Oryctolagus cuniculus: one gene and its partners. The protein of the gene in region 1 interacts with the protein of each later gene in a pairwise test. Links are inferred from orthologs where the notes say so. Each region holds a gene or a part of one and is shown in the gene's direction. Other genes may lie near its edges.

Region 1 (4,537 bases):
GGCTGTGGACCCACTGCCCGGGACTCTCAGACGTGGGAGCCAGGGAGCGCACGGGAGCTGCTCTGGGCTGGGCAGAGCAGTGCCGACCCGAGACCCCGCGGAGGAGCGGGAGGTGTCATGCCCAGAAGGCTCTGACCCGTGGGGGAGCCCAGCCTGGCTGCTGCAGGGAGAGGTCTCCTCTCGCCTGGTCCCCGAGTCCGGGTGAGCCAGAGAGGACGCAGGCGGGGTGGCCCTGGGAGGCCCCATGGCCATGGGCAGTCAGATCCTGAGAGGGACTCCTGGGAGGGGGCTTCGAGTGAACCGAGTGAAGCCAGGGGAGGGAAGGGGTTGTCGAGCCGCGTGCAGAGTGGCTGAGGCTTCGGTGCCCTGCAGAGGGGCCGAGCGTCCTCAGACTCTGGGCGTGGCTCCGAGAGGCTTCTCCTGACAGCAGCGTCTGGCTGCCTGGGACCTCGGCCCCCACCAGCGGGGAGACTTAGGGTAGACGGGCCAGCGTGTGGCCTGTGGCGATGGCCTGGTCCATGGAGGGCCTGCACTCGGCGGTCAGCGCGAGTGGCCCTGCTTGTCGGTGTCAGCAGTTTGGCCTCACGGGCCGAAGGTGACGCAGGCTGTGCAGCTGGCCCCCCCATGCTCCTCTGCGTCGTTCCCTGTAGTGAGCCCGGGGTGAGCGCAGCCGCTGTCAGCTCGGGGAGGTCGAGTGAGTGACTGGTCCCACGGGTGGTTCAGGGAACCCCACTCCTGCCTGGCGTCGGAAGTGAGGGCGGGCCTGGCGGTAGAGCCCACTTGCCAGCTGGGCCTCACGTGCCGTCTCTCTTTTGTCTTGCAGTGTTCCACTGGCAGGCCACCATCATGGGCCCGGTACGTTGAGCTCCAGTTTGCGCCTCGTCCTTGTGCGTGGCGTGGCCACTGATCTCCCTGTGTCTCCTTGCAGACGGACAGTCCCTACCAAGGAGGGCTTTTCTTCCTGACCATCCACTTCCCTACGGACTACCCTTTCAAGCCCCCGAAGGTGAGCAGCGCAGCACCCAGTGAAGAGAGCTGAGAGCCGCGGCTCCCGGGACGCCAGACCTGGACTCGCAGAGCGAGAGGGGTCAGGGTGGGGAAGGGCTCCCGGGACGCCAGACCTGGACTCGCAGAACAAGAGGGGTCAGGGTGGGGAAGGGCTCCTGGGATGCCAGACCTGGACTCGCAGAGCGAGAGGGGTCAGGGTGGGGAAGGGCTCCTGGGATGCCAGACCTGGACTCGCAGAGCGAGAGGGGTCAGGGTGGGGAAGGGCTCCTGGGAAGTCGCGCTCCTGCGGCTGCCGCAGCTGCTGTGACACCTGGTCGTGCCTCCAGGCACCGGCTCCCCCTGCAGTGCCTTCCAGCCCAAGACCAGGCTGTCAGCTAAGACGATTTGCCCGGAACGCGCGTGTGGACAAATGCTGGGATACTTCGGCTCACCAGACTTGCTGTGGAGGGCGGGGCTTGCTGCTAGTGTCTAGTGGGTAAGAGCCAGGGGTGCTGCTCCGGGACAGCCCCCTCCCACAGCAGAGAACGTTCCAGCCCAGGAGTCAAGGGCCAAGGTGGAGACGCCTGGCCCGGGACTCTGCAGATGGGTTCTGTTTATTAAGGTGCCGCTCATGCGCACACCCCGTGGCATGGGGGAGCTGCAGAGACCAGCCCCCTGGACTGTGCCTGCTGGACCAGCTGCCCCGTGCACTGAGGCTCAGAGCCCTGTGGAGCAAACAGGGATGTCGTGCCTAGGAGCAGCACAGGCCGGAGCCCAGCAGCCTTTGTGTGCAAGTGGTCTGGGGTGGGAGGGGCCAGACTGCTGCAGCCCTGGAGTGGGTGTCAGCTGAGGGGCCGACCTGTGACTCCAGAGGAGGGTGGAGTGTGGGGCGGGAAGAGGAGGCCCCGGCTGCTGGGAGGTGGAACCCAGGTTCACGGCCCCTTTACTGCTCTTCCCTGTTTCTGGTTCAGCGGTGGTGCAGGCTTATTTGTGAGCTAGAGACCTAGCGGTGGGCACACGGAGGGCCGTCTGCTGTAGACCCAGCAGGGCCCAGCTGGCAGCCCCACAGGCTCCTCCGGGTCTTCCCTGTGTCCGCCAGTGCACGCCTTCGGTCTCATCTCCAAAATGCGGGAACTAAGGCTCGGAAAGGACGCATCGTTTCCTGAGGTGACGGGCCCGTCGCTGAGGGTGGACCCCCGGCACGCCGCCTTTAGAGCTGTGTTGTGGACTGATTTTAGCTTAGAAACAAGTTGCAGAAATAGTACAAGGGGCTTCCGTGAACCCCTCGCCCGCCTCCGCCGTTGCCAGCGCCCGCGTCACTGCCCTGCCCCGAGCCGAGAGCCTTGCAGCCGGCGTCCTCCGAGGGCCGCGGCGCCCGGCTCCTGGTGACCGGCGGTCACTGCCGCCGTCCGCGCTGGGGCCTCGGTTGCCCTGGTGGTGTTGAGGGGTGTGGCTCTGTCACGGCGTCAGGCCCTCACTTGGGGTTTCTGTGACGTTTTCTCGGGTCTGCGCATGGTCAGGGCGGTGCAGCCTGGGGCGGGAGGCCGCCGTGCAGCCCTTTCTCAGCTGGTCTCGAAGGCCCCGGTCAGTCTGACCTCGAGCCTCTGTTGTGTGGCCGGCGTCTGGCCCTGGTGCTCTGAATCATGTCGAATGTGCCCAGGGTCCCTGAGCCCTGGCAGGGGAGTGGCCGTGTGGCCAGGTAGAGCCAGGCGCTCTGTCTGCTGCTCCCGCAGCCCCCGCAGCCTCTGGCCCTGCCCTCCCCTGTGGGCTCTCCAGCTCAGCTCCCTCCAGCTTCCTCGGGCTCAGCGGACACGCGCCTGGTCCTCTTGGGCATCTCAGGACCCCTGATGGCCCAGGCAGCTGCTGCTAGGGGGCGGGGTTATTTTGACGAGGAGAAACGCGACCTGCGAGGTGAGATTCCACCAGAGAAAGCAGCGCTTCTGTCTCTGACACTGTCCTTGCACAGGGGCACGAGACAAGCTGGACTTGTGTGTGGCAGGCGTTTCCCTGCCACGGTGGTCGTCCTTGTGGACACAGTGAGGCAGATTCTTGTGTCGGAGGCCTTCTGGAAGCAGGCCCGGCCCAGGGACCCCATGGGCGTGGGCGCGTGCAGGGCAGGCGCGCACGGCCCCTCTGCCTGCGGTCTGAAGAAGACGCTCTCCGAAAATCACACGCGTGTGCAGCCTAAAGAACTGGCCGGGCACTCGGAAATTGTGCGTGACGGCACGGCAGGCGCCCGTCCTCCCACGTGGGGCAGTGTTGCCCGCTGCGGAGTGGACTCTGGTCCCGCTCGGGGACAGGCAGAGCTGCCCTGACAGCGTGGGGATGACCCACAAACCCCGCAGCAGCCCAGCCAGGGCTCACAGCCCCATACAGCACGGAGTCGGGGGGCAAGGAGGTTGTCTGAGAAAGTGCAGCTGCAGCTTCAAGCAGTCAGTAGGAGCATGCACGGTGAGCAGGGGTCAGGCAGGGGTCAGAGGTCACACAGGAGGGGGAGCTGGGGTGAGCAGGGGTCAGACAGGAGGGGGATGGGGGGTGAGTAGGGGTCAGGCAGGAGGGGGATGGGGGGGTGAGCAGGGGTCAGACAGGAGGGGGATGGGGGATGAGCAGGGGTCAGACAGGAGGGGGATGGGGTGAGCAGGGGTCAGACAGGAGGGGGATGGGGTGAGCAGGGGTCAGACAGGAGGGGGATGGGGTGAGCAGGGGTCAGACAGGAGGGGGATGGGGATGAGCAGGAGTCACACAGGAGGGGGATGGGGATGAGCAGGAGTCACACAGGAGGGGGATGGGAGTGAGCAGGAGTCAGACAGGAGGGGGATGGGAGTGAGCAGGAGTCAGACAGGAGGGGGATGTGGGGTGAGCAGGGGTCAGACAGGAGGGGGATGGGGTGAGCAGGGGTCAGACAGGAGGGGGATGGGAGTGAGCAGGAGTCAGACAGGAGGGGGATGGGGATGAGCAGGGGTCACACAGGAGGGGGATGGGGATGAGCAGGAGTCACACAGGAGGGGGATGGGGGTGAGCAGGAGTCAGACAGGAGGGGGATGGGGTGAGCAGGGGTCAGACAGGAGGGGGATGGGGTGAGCAGGGGTCAGACAGGAGGGGGATGGGGATGAGCAGGAGTCACACAGGAGGGGGATGGGAGTGAGCAGGAGTCAGACAGGAGGGGGATGGGGGATGAGCAGGGGTCAGACAGGAGGGGGATGGGGGTGAGCAGGGGTCACACAGGAGGGGGATGGGGGGTGAGCAGGAGTCAGGAGGGGGATGTGGGGTGAGCAGGGGTCACACAGGAGGGGGATGGGGGTGAGCAGGGGTCACACAGGAGGGGGATGGGGGTGAGCAGGGGTCAGACAGGAGGGGGATGGGAGTGAGCAGGAGTCAGACAGGAGGGGGATGGGGGTGAGCAGGGGTCACACAGGAGGGGGATGGGGGTGAGCAGGGGTCAGACAGGAGGGGGATGGGAGTGAGCAGGAGTCAGACAGGAGGGGGATGGGGGATGAGCAGGGGTCAGACAGGAGGGGGATGGGGATGAGCAGGAGTCACACAGGAGGGG
Region 2 (4,537 bases), on another chromosome or scaffold:
CACCAAATTACCCATTCCTTTCAGCTTCCTATTAATCAGGAAGTCTTTAGTGTCTACTGCCTTCAGTCTGTAAATTTGTTCACCAAAGGAGTAGAAATACTAATAATCATAGTAAAGTGGGAGATGTGGTATTAGAAGCCTCGGCCACCTATAATAATCTGAGGAGAAGGCCATCACTCTCTATATATTCCATTCAACTTACAGAGTCACAGAGAAGGAAAGAAATACCATCCACTCATTAACTCCTCAAATGGCCACAGCATTCAGGACTAGGCCAGGCTGAAGCCAGGATCCTGGAACTCCATTCACGTCTCCCATGTGGGTAACAGGGACCCAAGTAAAGTACTTGGGCCATCTTCTGCTGCATTTTGGTAGTGAAGCAACTTGAGTTGGCACTCTGATATGGGATGGTGGTGTCCTAAGCAGCGGCTTAACCCATTGCACCACAACAGCAGCAACTGTAAAGTCCCTTTACTTCAGCCTGATTTATTCTGTTTCCCCACTTAGAAGTTTCCCTCAAGTGGACATTTCGCCCAGCAGTTTAAAAGCCTGTCTCATATCTCACAGTTGGATTCCTGGCCTTGGCTCCTGACTGCTAATGCAGACCCTGGAAGACAGTGGTGATGTCTCAAGTGATGGGTTGCTCCCACCTCCCGTGTAGACTTGGATTGAGTCCCTGGCTCCCACTTTCTGCCCCAGCCCAACCTAGGCTACTGCAGACACTTGATGATTAAATCAGTGGATGGGGGCTCTGTCTCTGTATCTCTTTGATTCTCAAATTAATAGATAATTTTTAAAGTTCCATTCAAATACTTAAAAGCTTTGTCCCTAAATCTAGATATAAACAAGTTCGAGAATGGAATCCCTAATTTGACGTGTTTCTGTATTGGTTGAGATAAGCTATGAGTTGGATGCTCCTGATAGCCTCTCATTTTAAGGGAAAGTAAAAGGATTGTTTATGGTATTCCTTATATCCCAATAAAGAAGATTTATCGTCAAGTAAAAGTTTGCCATAAATTGGAAAATACTTTTTCTTTTGATAGTCCCCAATCCCTTTCTCTTAATGTGTCTATTCTCATTGTTAGAGCAAACTTCTTCATAGCAGGCTGGTGCTAATGTGTCCTTTTTCTTCTTAATGATTAACTAAGTAGGTGGTCAGATTCCCTTGTTGATTTAAAGCCTATGGTTCCCTTGTTTGTCTCTGGCTTTCCTAATTCTGTTCCAGGAGACAACACAATAAACTTCATCCTGCTTGGTTCCCTGTAATAGCTGAAGTGAGATTCAAGGCTATCTTGAATCTAAAAGTTGACAGATTCTGTTTTTATATAACTCAGATAATAATAGAATGTGTTGTTACAGCCTGGTGAGAGAACAGAGTAACAATAAAGGACATTTTATTATCTCCCTCCCAGGAATGTTATACACTGATACATTCCCAGGCAACCACTGATCTGCCTTTAATCATTATAAATTAGTTTGCATTTTCTAGAATTTTATACAAATGAAATGATTCTGTATTACTTTTTTATTTCAAGATTTATTTATTTATTTGAGAGGCAGAGTTACAGACAGAGAGGTCGTTCATCCACTGGTTCACTCCCTGAATGGCCACAACTGCCAGAGCTGGGCCTTTCCGAAGGCAGGAGCCAGGAGCTTCTTCCAGGTCTTCCACTTGGGTGCCAGAGCCCAAGTACTTTGGCCATCATCCACTGCTTTCCCAGGCCATCAGCAGGGAGCTGGATCTGAAGTGGAGCAGCTGGGACATGAACCAGCATCTGTATGGGATGTCAGTGCTGCAGGCAGAGGCTTTACCAACTTGCCACGGTGCTGGTCCTCTGTATTACTATTTTCCTTGCTTTTTTCTTAGAAAGAAATTAGTTTTTTGAGATTTGTCCATATTACTGTGTGTATCGGGAGTTCATTGCTTTGTATATATACAATAGGTTTGTTTATTCATCTATTGATGGACATTTAGAATAGATTATACCTTTTTTTTTTTTTTTAAATTTGACAGGTAGAGTTATAGACTGAGAGAGAGAGAGAGAGAAAGGTCCTCCCTCCATTGGTTCACTCCCCAAATGGCCGCTACGGCTGGTGCTGCGCCGATCCGAAGTCAGGAGCTAGGTGCCTCTTCCTGGTCTCCCATGTGGGTGCAGGGGCCCAAGCACTTGGGCCATCCTCCACTGCCCTCCCAGGCCACAGCAGAGAGCTGGACTGGAAGAGAAGCAACCGTGACTAGAACCCGGCGCCCATATGGGATGTCAGTGCCGCAGGCGGAGGATTAACCAAGTGAGCCACAGCGCCGGCCCCAAATTATACCTTTTTTTTTTTTTTTTTTTTTTTTTTGACAGGCAGAGTGGACAGTGAGAGAGAGAGACAGAGAGAGAAAGGTCTTCCTTTGCCGTTGGTTCACCCTCCAATGGCCGCCGCTGCAGCCGGCGCACCGCGCTGATCCGATGGCAGGAGCCAGGATCCAGGTGCTTTTCCTGGTCTCCTATGGGGTGCAGGGCCCAAGCACCTGGGCCATCCTCCACTGCACTCCCTGGCCATAGCAGAGAGCTGGCCTGGAAGAGGGGCAACCGGGACAGAATCCGGCGCCCCGACCGGGACTAGAACCCGGTGTGCCAGCGCCGCAAGGTGGAGGATTAGCCTATTGAGCCACGGCGCCGGCCCCCAAATTATACCTTTTAAAATAAATTATAACACTGAGGAATTCTTACTTTCGTTGATCCGCTGATTCCTGGGAGTTTACATACTATGACAGGTACATCCTTTGCCCTACGTTGGCTTTCAACAATCTATTTCATATTGTCTTTTCTTTATCAGGCTTTGGTGTTAGGATGCTGAGTACAGCCAACATGAAAAGTAGTCAGTACATTCCAATGCATGGCAAACAGATACGTGGATTGGCTTTCAACCCCCGATCCAAAGGCTTGCTGCTCTCTGCTTCCCTGGACAACACTGTTAAATTGACCAGGTGAGTGTTTCAGTACAGAAAATGGAGCCTAGGCTGCTCAGTGCCGTCAGCATTGAATTGCTGTCAGTATTATGATGGCCTGTGTGATGCTTTTCAAAGTGCACATAGCAGTTTACAAAAGTATTTAGGTAGTATTCCATTTCTTTAAGATTATGCTTGTTCAAAAATATATCCTAAACCATGCAAATGATAGAATAACAATGGAGGGGGGCTTTGGCACTTGACACTATGGAGTTACCCTATCAACTTGCAACTTAATCTGTGACTTGGATAATTGTGTCTAACAAAAATGCTCACTGGGACCAGGCATTTGGCCTAGCAGTCAAATTGCTGATTGAACGCCTGTATCCTGTATCAGAGAGGCTTCTTGCTTATGCATACCTTGGGAAGCAACAAATGATGGCTCAAATAGTTGAGCCCTTGCCCCTCAAATGAGAGACCTGGATTGAGTTCCTGGCTTCCTGTTTTGTCTTGGCCCAGCTGTGGCTGTTGTGGGCAGTTACGGAGTGAACAAGCAGTTGGAAGCTCATACTCTTTCACTCTCGTCTATCCCCCTCTCTTTCTCAAACAATAAATTAAAAAAATTTAAACAACTCGCTTGGGGCCGGTGCTGTGGCACAGTGGGTTAAGGTACTGCCTGTAGTGCTGGCATCGCAAGTGGGTGCAAGTCAGTCCTGGCTGCTCCACTTCTGATCCAGCTCTTTGCTAATGCACCTGGGAAAGCAGCAGAGGATGGTCCAAGTGCCTGGGCCCCTGTACCTACTGGAGACCTAGCAGAAGCTCCTGGCTCCTAGCTTTGGCCTGGCCTGGCCTGGCCTGGCCCTGCCCTGGCTGTTGCAGCTATTAGGGGAGTGAATTAGCTGGTAGAAGATCTCTCTCTATCTCTCCTTCTTTGTAACTCCACCTTTCAAATAAATAAATAATTCTTTAAAAAAGAAAAGACTAGGCTCTAGCTGTCTTTGGGTACCATTATTTATCTTTTACATGCTCTGTGAGCACTGTAAAACACTTTTTTTTTTCTTTTAAGATTTATTTATTTTGAAAGTTAGAGTTACAGAGAAAATGGAAGAGAGAGAAAGGTATCTTCCATTTGCTGGTTTACTCCCTAGATGGTCACAATGACCAATGCTGGGCCAGGCCAGAGCCAGGAGCTTCATTCAGATCTCCCATGTGGATGCTGGGGCTCAACCACTGGAATCATCGTCTGCTGCTTTCTTAGGCTATTAGTAGGGAGCTGGATCGGAAGTGGAGCTGCTGGGACTCAGAACAGCGCCAAAATGGGATGTTGGCACTGCAGATAGTGGCTTAACTTGCTGCACCACAGTGCAAGCCCCAAATCTTTTGATTTTTCAAGATATTGTAGGCTAATTTTGGCCCAAAACTCAATATAACATGTTTTATTTGTGTATGCTTTTTTTTTAAGTTATTCTTTAAGGGTTAGCATTGTGATTCAGCTTCCAGTGCTGACATCCCTTATTGTCACACCACTTCAAGTACAGGCTACTCTCACTCTGATCTAGCTATCTGCTCATGCGCCTGAGAAAACAGAAAATGAACCGA
Region 3 (5,288 bases), on another chromosome or scaffold:
ATGGATGGATGCCCTGTTTCTGGACCAGAGAGATGGTCAACAAGGGATAACCAACCATAGAGTGAAACAGAATCAGGAAACCTGGCTCGTGTCCCAGCTGTTAAGCCTTGGTTAGTCATTTCACTTCTAGAAATCTGTTTCCTTGTCTGTTGGCAGAAATGACCTGTAAAATCCCCATGCTTCCAACTTGGCCACTTGCCAACTCCGGAAACAGATTTCTCTCATTTTAAATAAGTTTAGCCAGAGAATACATCCAGGCAGATGGCCGTTTTCCTACGAAGCCAGCCTTCATCGGCCTTAGCTGGCTTCAGCGGGGAGAGCTCTAATGGTGAGTCAGTCTCTCCCTGTCTCTCTAGGGTCCTTCCCTCTGAAGTCGAAGTGTTAGAATCTATCTATCTGGATGAACTACAAGTGATTAAAGGAAGTGGCAGGTATGTATTCAACTAGGGGTGGGCAGCAGTCCACTCAGTAATGGCAGGATTCTGTGCAGCTTCTGTTCCCAAGACACTGAGCCCCTATTCAAAGGTTTCCTTTGTGTAGACAAAGGCTATTCCTTCAATCCTCCAGAAAGAAAGCTCAATGTTTACTGCCGCTGCCCACTTTTCTGTCTCACCCCTATCTTCCCAAGTCCTGGAGCCCCTGCCCAGTCACACCCTGGGTCTCCACCTCTTCCACCTGCAGATCCTCACCATGGGAGATCCTCATCACGCTGCACCCTGCCACCGCAGAGGACCAAGACTCACAATACGTCTGCCTCACGCTGGTGCTGCGCGTGCCGGCACAGGTGGGCCCCGACCGCACAGCAGCAAGGGGAGGAAAGGGAGAGTTGCCGGGTGGATCACGTCAGCGGTAATTTGTTCTTTTCCCCACTAGTATCCCTATGAAGTGCCAGAGATCTCTATCCGTAACCCCCGAGGGCTCTCAGATGAACAGATCCACAAGTAAGTTCGGCCGGTCAGAGGAGGGACACCTTGATACACAGCTCTGCCCGGGGAGGGAGGCAGGCTGAATACTGGCTTTGCCCTCTTCTTGCAGGATCTCACAGGCACTGGGCAGCGTGGCCAAGGCCGGGCTGGGCACTGCCATGCTCTATGAGCTCATTGAGGTAAGAGGTACGCTGGTCTTTCCCTTTAAGCTAGCCCAGTTTCTCTCGAGGGAAGCCGTAGGCCTAGAATCTTAAAATACATCTGGAGTCATTCATGTAGTCCTTGTTGAAGGTGAGGCCTAAATTAGCCCAGAAATATGGAACTCTTTCATTTAAAGAAGTAAAATCTCCCCAGAAAACAGTAACTCAAGTTGCCCATTCCAGCATCTCAACAGAAAACGTTCTCTCCTCTGTAACTTGCATTTTACTCCAGTGTTAGCGTGTTTCTTGTTCTCTTGACACTGGCGACCGCAAGTGGCGGAAGACAGGGACCTTGCTGGGCCGAGGCAGCCTGACCCATAAATGAACACCTGAAGGCTAGCCTGGCGGCAGAACCGACCAGAAGCAGTCATGGCGGAGATAGGGCTTTATATCCTGGTTAAGGAGGAACCCGCGCACCCAGAGTTACATAGAAAAATTCTGCTTCAGATTTCAAACATGCAAGTACAGCCTTGTTCTCTTCTACTGTCGAAGTTAGGAGGGTGGCTGGAGTCAGAGCAAGTAGGCTTATTAGACCACTGCAGCACTGCTAGGTCAAGCGTCCACAATGCAGCTTTGAACTTGGTGGAATGCCAGCATGTTGGCTATGAAATGTGTATTTCACAGCCCAACCTGATGCCTTTTAAATTCTCCAGAGCAAAGTCACCGCCCCATGGGGGACTGGAGCCCAAAGGGGGTTCATCAAGAAAGACCCCACCCCAGAAAAGGAGTTTAAACTGGACATTTTCTCTCTCCAATGTCTATTATTTTCACCCCCAAGATTTAATAAAAGTGACTTCATGAGAGGGAAAACAATTTTAAGTTGGATTTTGAAAGCCAGGAAGGGGAAATCTGGGGGGACGAGCTGGGACATGGGACAGGACTGATTCCTAGTCGAGGGAACATCACCAAGACAGAAGTGCACGAACATGAGGGAACAAGCTGGCTCGGTGGGTGCCGAGTCCAGCCAGGGCTCCTGCAGCGGTGGACAGGCCCGGCTCCCGGTGCGAGTCCACACCTCACTGTCTCAGCAGTGTCTTCTCTCCCCTCAGAAAGGCAAGGAAATCCTCACAGATAACAACATCCCCCATGGCCAGTGTGTCATCTGTCTCTATGGTTTCCAGGTGCGTTTCTCAGTGGGGACCTGGGATCTCTTGGGGCCCGGCAGACGAGGGCACGTGAGAGTGCACTGATGCGGTGCCCCCCGTTCCTCCCCCCTCCAGGAGAAGGAGGCCTTTACCAAAACAGCCTGTTACCACTACTTCCACTGCCACTGCCTGGCTCGCTACATCCAGCACATGGAGCAAGAGCTGAAGGCGCAAGGCCAGGAGCAGGAGCGGCAGCATGCTGCAGCCAAGCAGGTAGGTGTCACCCCCCCCCCTTGTCTCGCTTGACATCCTCACTTGTGGATGTCCAGTCCTTCCTGTCCCCCCACTGCAGGGGCTCTTCCCCTTTCTAGGGTCCCAGGGACCCCTGAGGTGAATGAAATCTCCTCTCTTTGTCCCCAAAGCCACATCCGTATGACATGCAGTTGCAGGGGGTGCCCAGGCCTCTCGATAGGCAGCTGCGGCTCTGTGCCAGCCCTGTGCTCTGGACCACGAAGCAGACCTGTGATTTCTCCTCTTTCTTAGACGGCGCTCGGTGTGCAGTGCCCCGTGTGCAGAGAGCCTCTTGTGTACGATCTGGCTTCACTGCAGGCAGCCCCTGAGCCCCAGCAGCCGCTGGTGAGAGCATGTCCTGCTACTCTGAGCCGGGAGTGAGGGTGTCCTCTGACGGGGGGGGGGAAGGGCATCTCACCTCAAGTGCACACAGTGCCTGGAATGGAGCTTGAGCTGCCCAAGGCCCTCCTGGGATCCTGCCTCTGGGGGGCCAAAACCAAGACCCGGCACGGGTGTCCTGAGGCGGTTAGACAGGAAGGGGCGGGAGTCCGCCGCCCTGTGCCCGCTGTCTCCTGCCAGTCTCCTGTGTCCTTCCAGGAGCTGTACCAGCCCAGCGCGGAGAGCTTGCTGCAGCAAGAGGAGCTCAAGCGGCTCTACCAGCGGCAGCAGGCGCGGGGGGGCATCATTGACCTGGAGGCGGAGCGGAACCGGTACTTCATCAGCCTTCAGCAGGTGAGAGCAGGCTGTCCCCCTCTGCCGCGGCCCTGGGGTGAGCGGTGGCCGAGAGCACAGGCGGCCATCAGCTGATGGAGGGTGGCGATGGCCGAGGGGGCCTGCAGTCCTGCATCTCCTCCCCCCTCTCCAGCCTCCTGCCCCTTTGGAGCCAGAGTCAACTGGAGAGGTCTCCAGAGGACCGCACCTCCCCGGGGCCCCTGCCGCAGACCAGTCTGCCTCACCAGCTGCCCAGCCCACCCTGCCAAGTCCTCTGCCGGGGGCCACCCAGCACGTGTGTGAAAAGATTTCCGGGGCCAGGCCGAACCAGAGATTGGGTGAGACCCAAAAAGCTATGCTAGATACCCCCCGGCCCAGTCGGGGCCCCTGGCGACAGTCGAATCGGAAGCACCTGAAGGGAGGGGAGTGCCGAGCCCCCAAGGGGACCAGAGACGCCCAGGAACTGCCACTCCCTGAGGGAGCCCTCAAGGAACCCACGGATTTAAAGCCGGAGCCCCACAGCCCAGGGGTCGAAGGTCCTCCCCAAGAGAAGGGGCCTGGCAGCTGGCAGGGGCCCCCGTCCCGCAGGACTCGGGACTGTGCCCGCTGGGAGCGCTCTAGAGGTCGGACACCAGGCTCTTCGTACCCCCGCCTGCCTCGGGGCCAGGGAGCGTACTGTGCTGGCACTCGGCGGGAACCTGTGGGCCTGGAATCTGAGGATGGGTCCTAGCGCTACTGGGTGGGGGCAGGGGGCACGGGAGGGGGGGGCAATAAAGAGACTTGGCCTTGTTTGGCTTTCTTTGCTCAGCAGTGCCTAGCCTGTGGAGTATGGCTCTTTGTAAATTCCTAACAAGACTGGGCTGTGGCAGGGTGGCCCCCAACTTGGCTCGAAGTCTGTTCTCTGCCCACTAGCGAGATGTCAACACTTGGGCAGAGACCACCCTGACATGTAACTCACTGCATAGGTACGCACATCACACATGTACTTAGTTTGGATGCCTTTAGGTGGAGGCACGTGTCCCCATCATCTGTCTCCGTGGTGGCCTGACCCTGCGGGCCCTGCGATCGCAGCCCCTGCTCTAGCAGGCACAGTCCAGGGAGGAAGCAAGGGAGCTCAGAGACCAGGGGAGTGTGGGCCGTGTTTATTGGAGTCCTGGCTGGGCAGAGCTGCACACCGCCTCTCAGTCACCTCAGGGTCTCAGTGTTGTGGATCGCCCCTGTAGGATCGTTTTTATGCAGCATGAAGTAGCCTTGTACCTGGGCAGGGCTGATCTCGTTTGTAGCCTTAAGGACACGTTCTGCAAAGGTCTCGGCCAAGGAAGGTGCTTGCCCTGGATAGAACCTCTGGAACATCTGGGTCAGCTGCCAGTGTGAGCAGTAGCCCACGTACTCCTTCAGGTCGACTCGTCCAGGGCGGATGAGGGCAGGGTCCAGTCTAGGAGGAGGCAGGGGAAGCAGAGTCATAGGCTGCTGCATCGGAAAAAAAACTCGCCTTCCCGACCCTCCTGAGGCACTCGGGGTGGTGCCCCCTCCCCTCACCTGTCAACGTGGTTGGTGGTCATGAACACAATGCGTGCCTCAGTGGAAGCCACGCCATCCAAGGCATTGAGAAGTCCGCTAAAGGTGAGGCGGCCTAGGCCTTGGTACTTGACTGGGTCTGGGGGAAGGAAGAGAGAAACACGAGGGATGAGCATCCCTCCACTCACTTCCTGACCACCCGTGGGCCCCTGTTGCTAGCACACGCTTCCTCCATCAGCGTGCTCTGGGTCCCTACTTTCTCCTCCTGTTCCTCGGTTACTCCTGTACCTCACGTAGGGCCACCCCCCTGCCTCCAGCTCCCGTCACTCACTCTCTGCGGCCAGGTCCCGGCTGAGGAAGGCCGCGTCCACATCCTCCAGGAGCACCAGGCTCTGCTGCGGGGCCACGCTCAGCAGGTGGTTGAGCCGGTCGTCGGAGAGGCTGGGGTCCGTGAGACTCAGCAGGCAGATGCTATGCTCCAGCTCCCCAGCCAGGGCTGTGCTGTGGAAGGTGGCAGGACAGGAGCAGGTAGGCGACCCTGGAACTCCTCGTTGGGC

Evidence for each region.
Region 2: the proteins of UBE2D4 (region 1) and RFWD3 interact in a two-hybrid assay, tested with the Homo sapiens proteins (2 studies listed by BioGRID and IntAct). The link is inferred for Oryctolagus cuniculus from reciprocal best matches to the Homo sapiens genes UBE2D4 and RFWD3.
Region 3: the proteins of UBE2D4 (region 1) and RNF25 interact in binary tests that used the Homo sapiens proteins (3 or more experiments, as listed by UniProt). The link is inferred for Oryctolagus cuniculus from reciprocal best matches to the Homo sapiens genes UBE2D4 and RNF25.

What each region holds. Positions count from the first base shown.
Region 1 is NC_091447.1:51,537,347-51,541,883, forward strand, and holds part of UBE2D4 (ubiquitin-conjugating enzyme E2 D4), read left to right. Parts: intron 1-823; coding exon 824-855; intron 856-928; coding exon 929-1,006; intron 1,007-4,537. UniProt on the Homo sapiens protein: Accepts ubiquitin from the E1 complex and catalyzes its covalent attachment to other proteins. In vitro able to promote polyubiquitination using all 7 ubiquitin Lys residues, but may prefer 'Lys-11' and 'Lys-48'-linked polyubiquitination.
Region 2 is NC_091449.1:57,217,794-57,222,330, reverse strand, and holds part of RFWD3 (E3 ubiquitin-protein ligase RFWD3), read left to right. Parts: intron 1-2,826; coding exon 2,827-2,977; intron 2,978-4,537. UniProt on the Homo sapiens protein: E3 ubiquitin-protein ligase required for the repair of DNA interstrand cross-links (ICL) in response to DNA damage. Plays a key role in RPA-mediated DNA damage signaling and repair.
Region 3 is NC_091434.1:20,769,477-20,774,764, forward strand, and holds the end of RNF25 (E3 ubiquitin-protein ligase RNF25), read left to right. Parts: intron 1-356; coding exon 357-431; intron 432-681; coding exon 682-784; intron 785-873; coding exon 874-941; intron 942-1,035; coding exon 1,036-1,105; intron 1,106-2,157; coding exon 2,158-2,247; intron 2,248-2,346; coding exon 2,347-2,484; intron 2,485-2,754; coding exon 2,755-2,847; intron 2,848-3,099; coding exon 3,100-3,234; intron 3,235-3,367; coding exon 3,368-3,943; 3' UTR 3,944-4,023; downstream 4,024-5,288. Other genes in the region: BCS1L (mitochondrial chaperone BCS1), read right to left, coding at 4,399-4,648, 4,753-4,870, 5,063-5,232. UniProt on the Homo sapiens protein: E3 ubiquitin-protein ligase that plays a key role in the RNF14-RNF25 translation quality control pathway, a pathway that takes place when a ribosome has stalled during translation, and which promotes ubiquitination and degradation of translation factors on stalled ribosomes.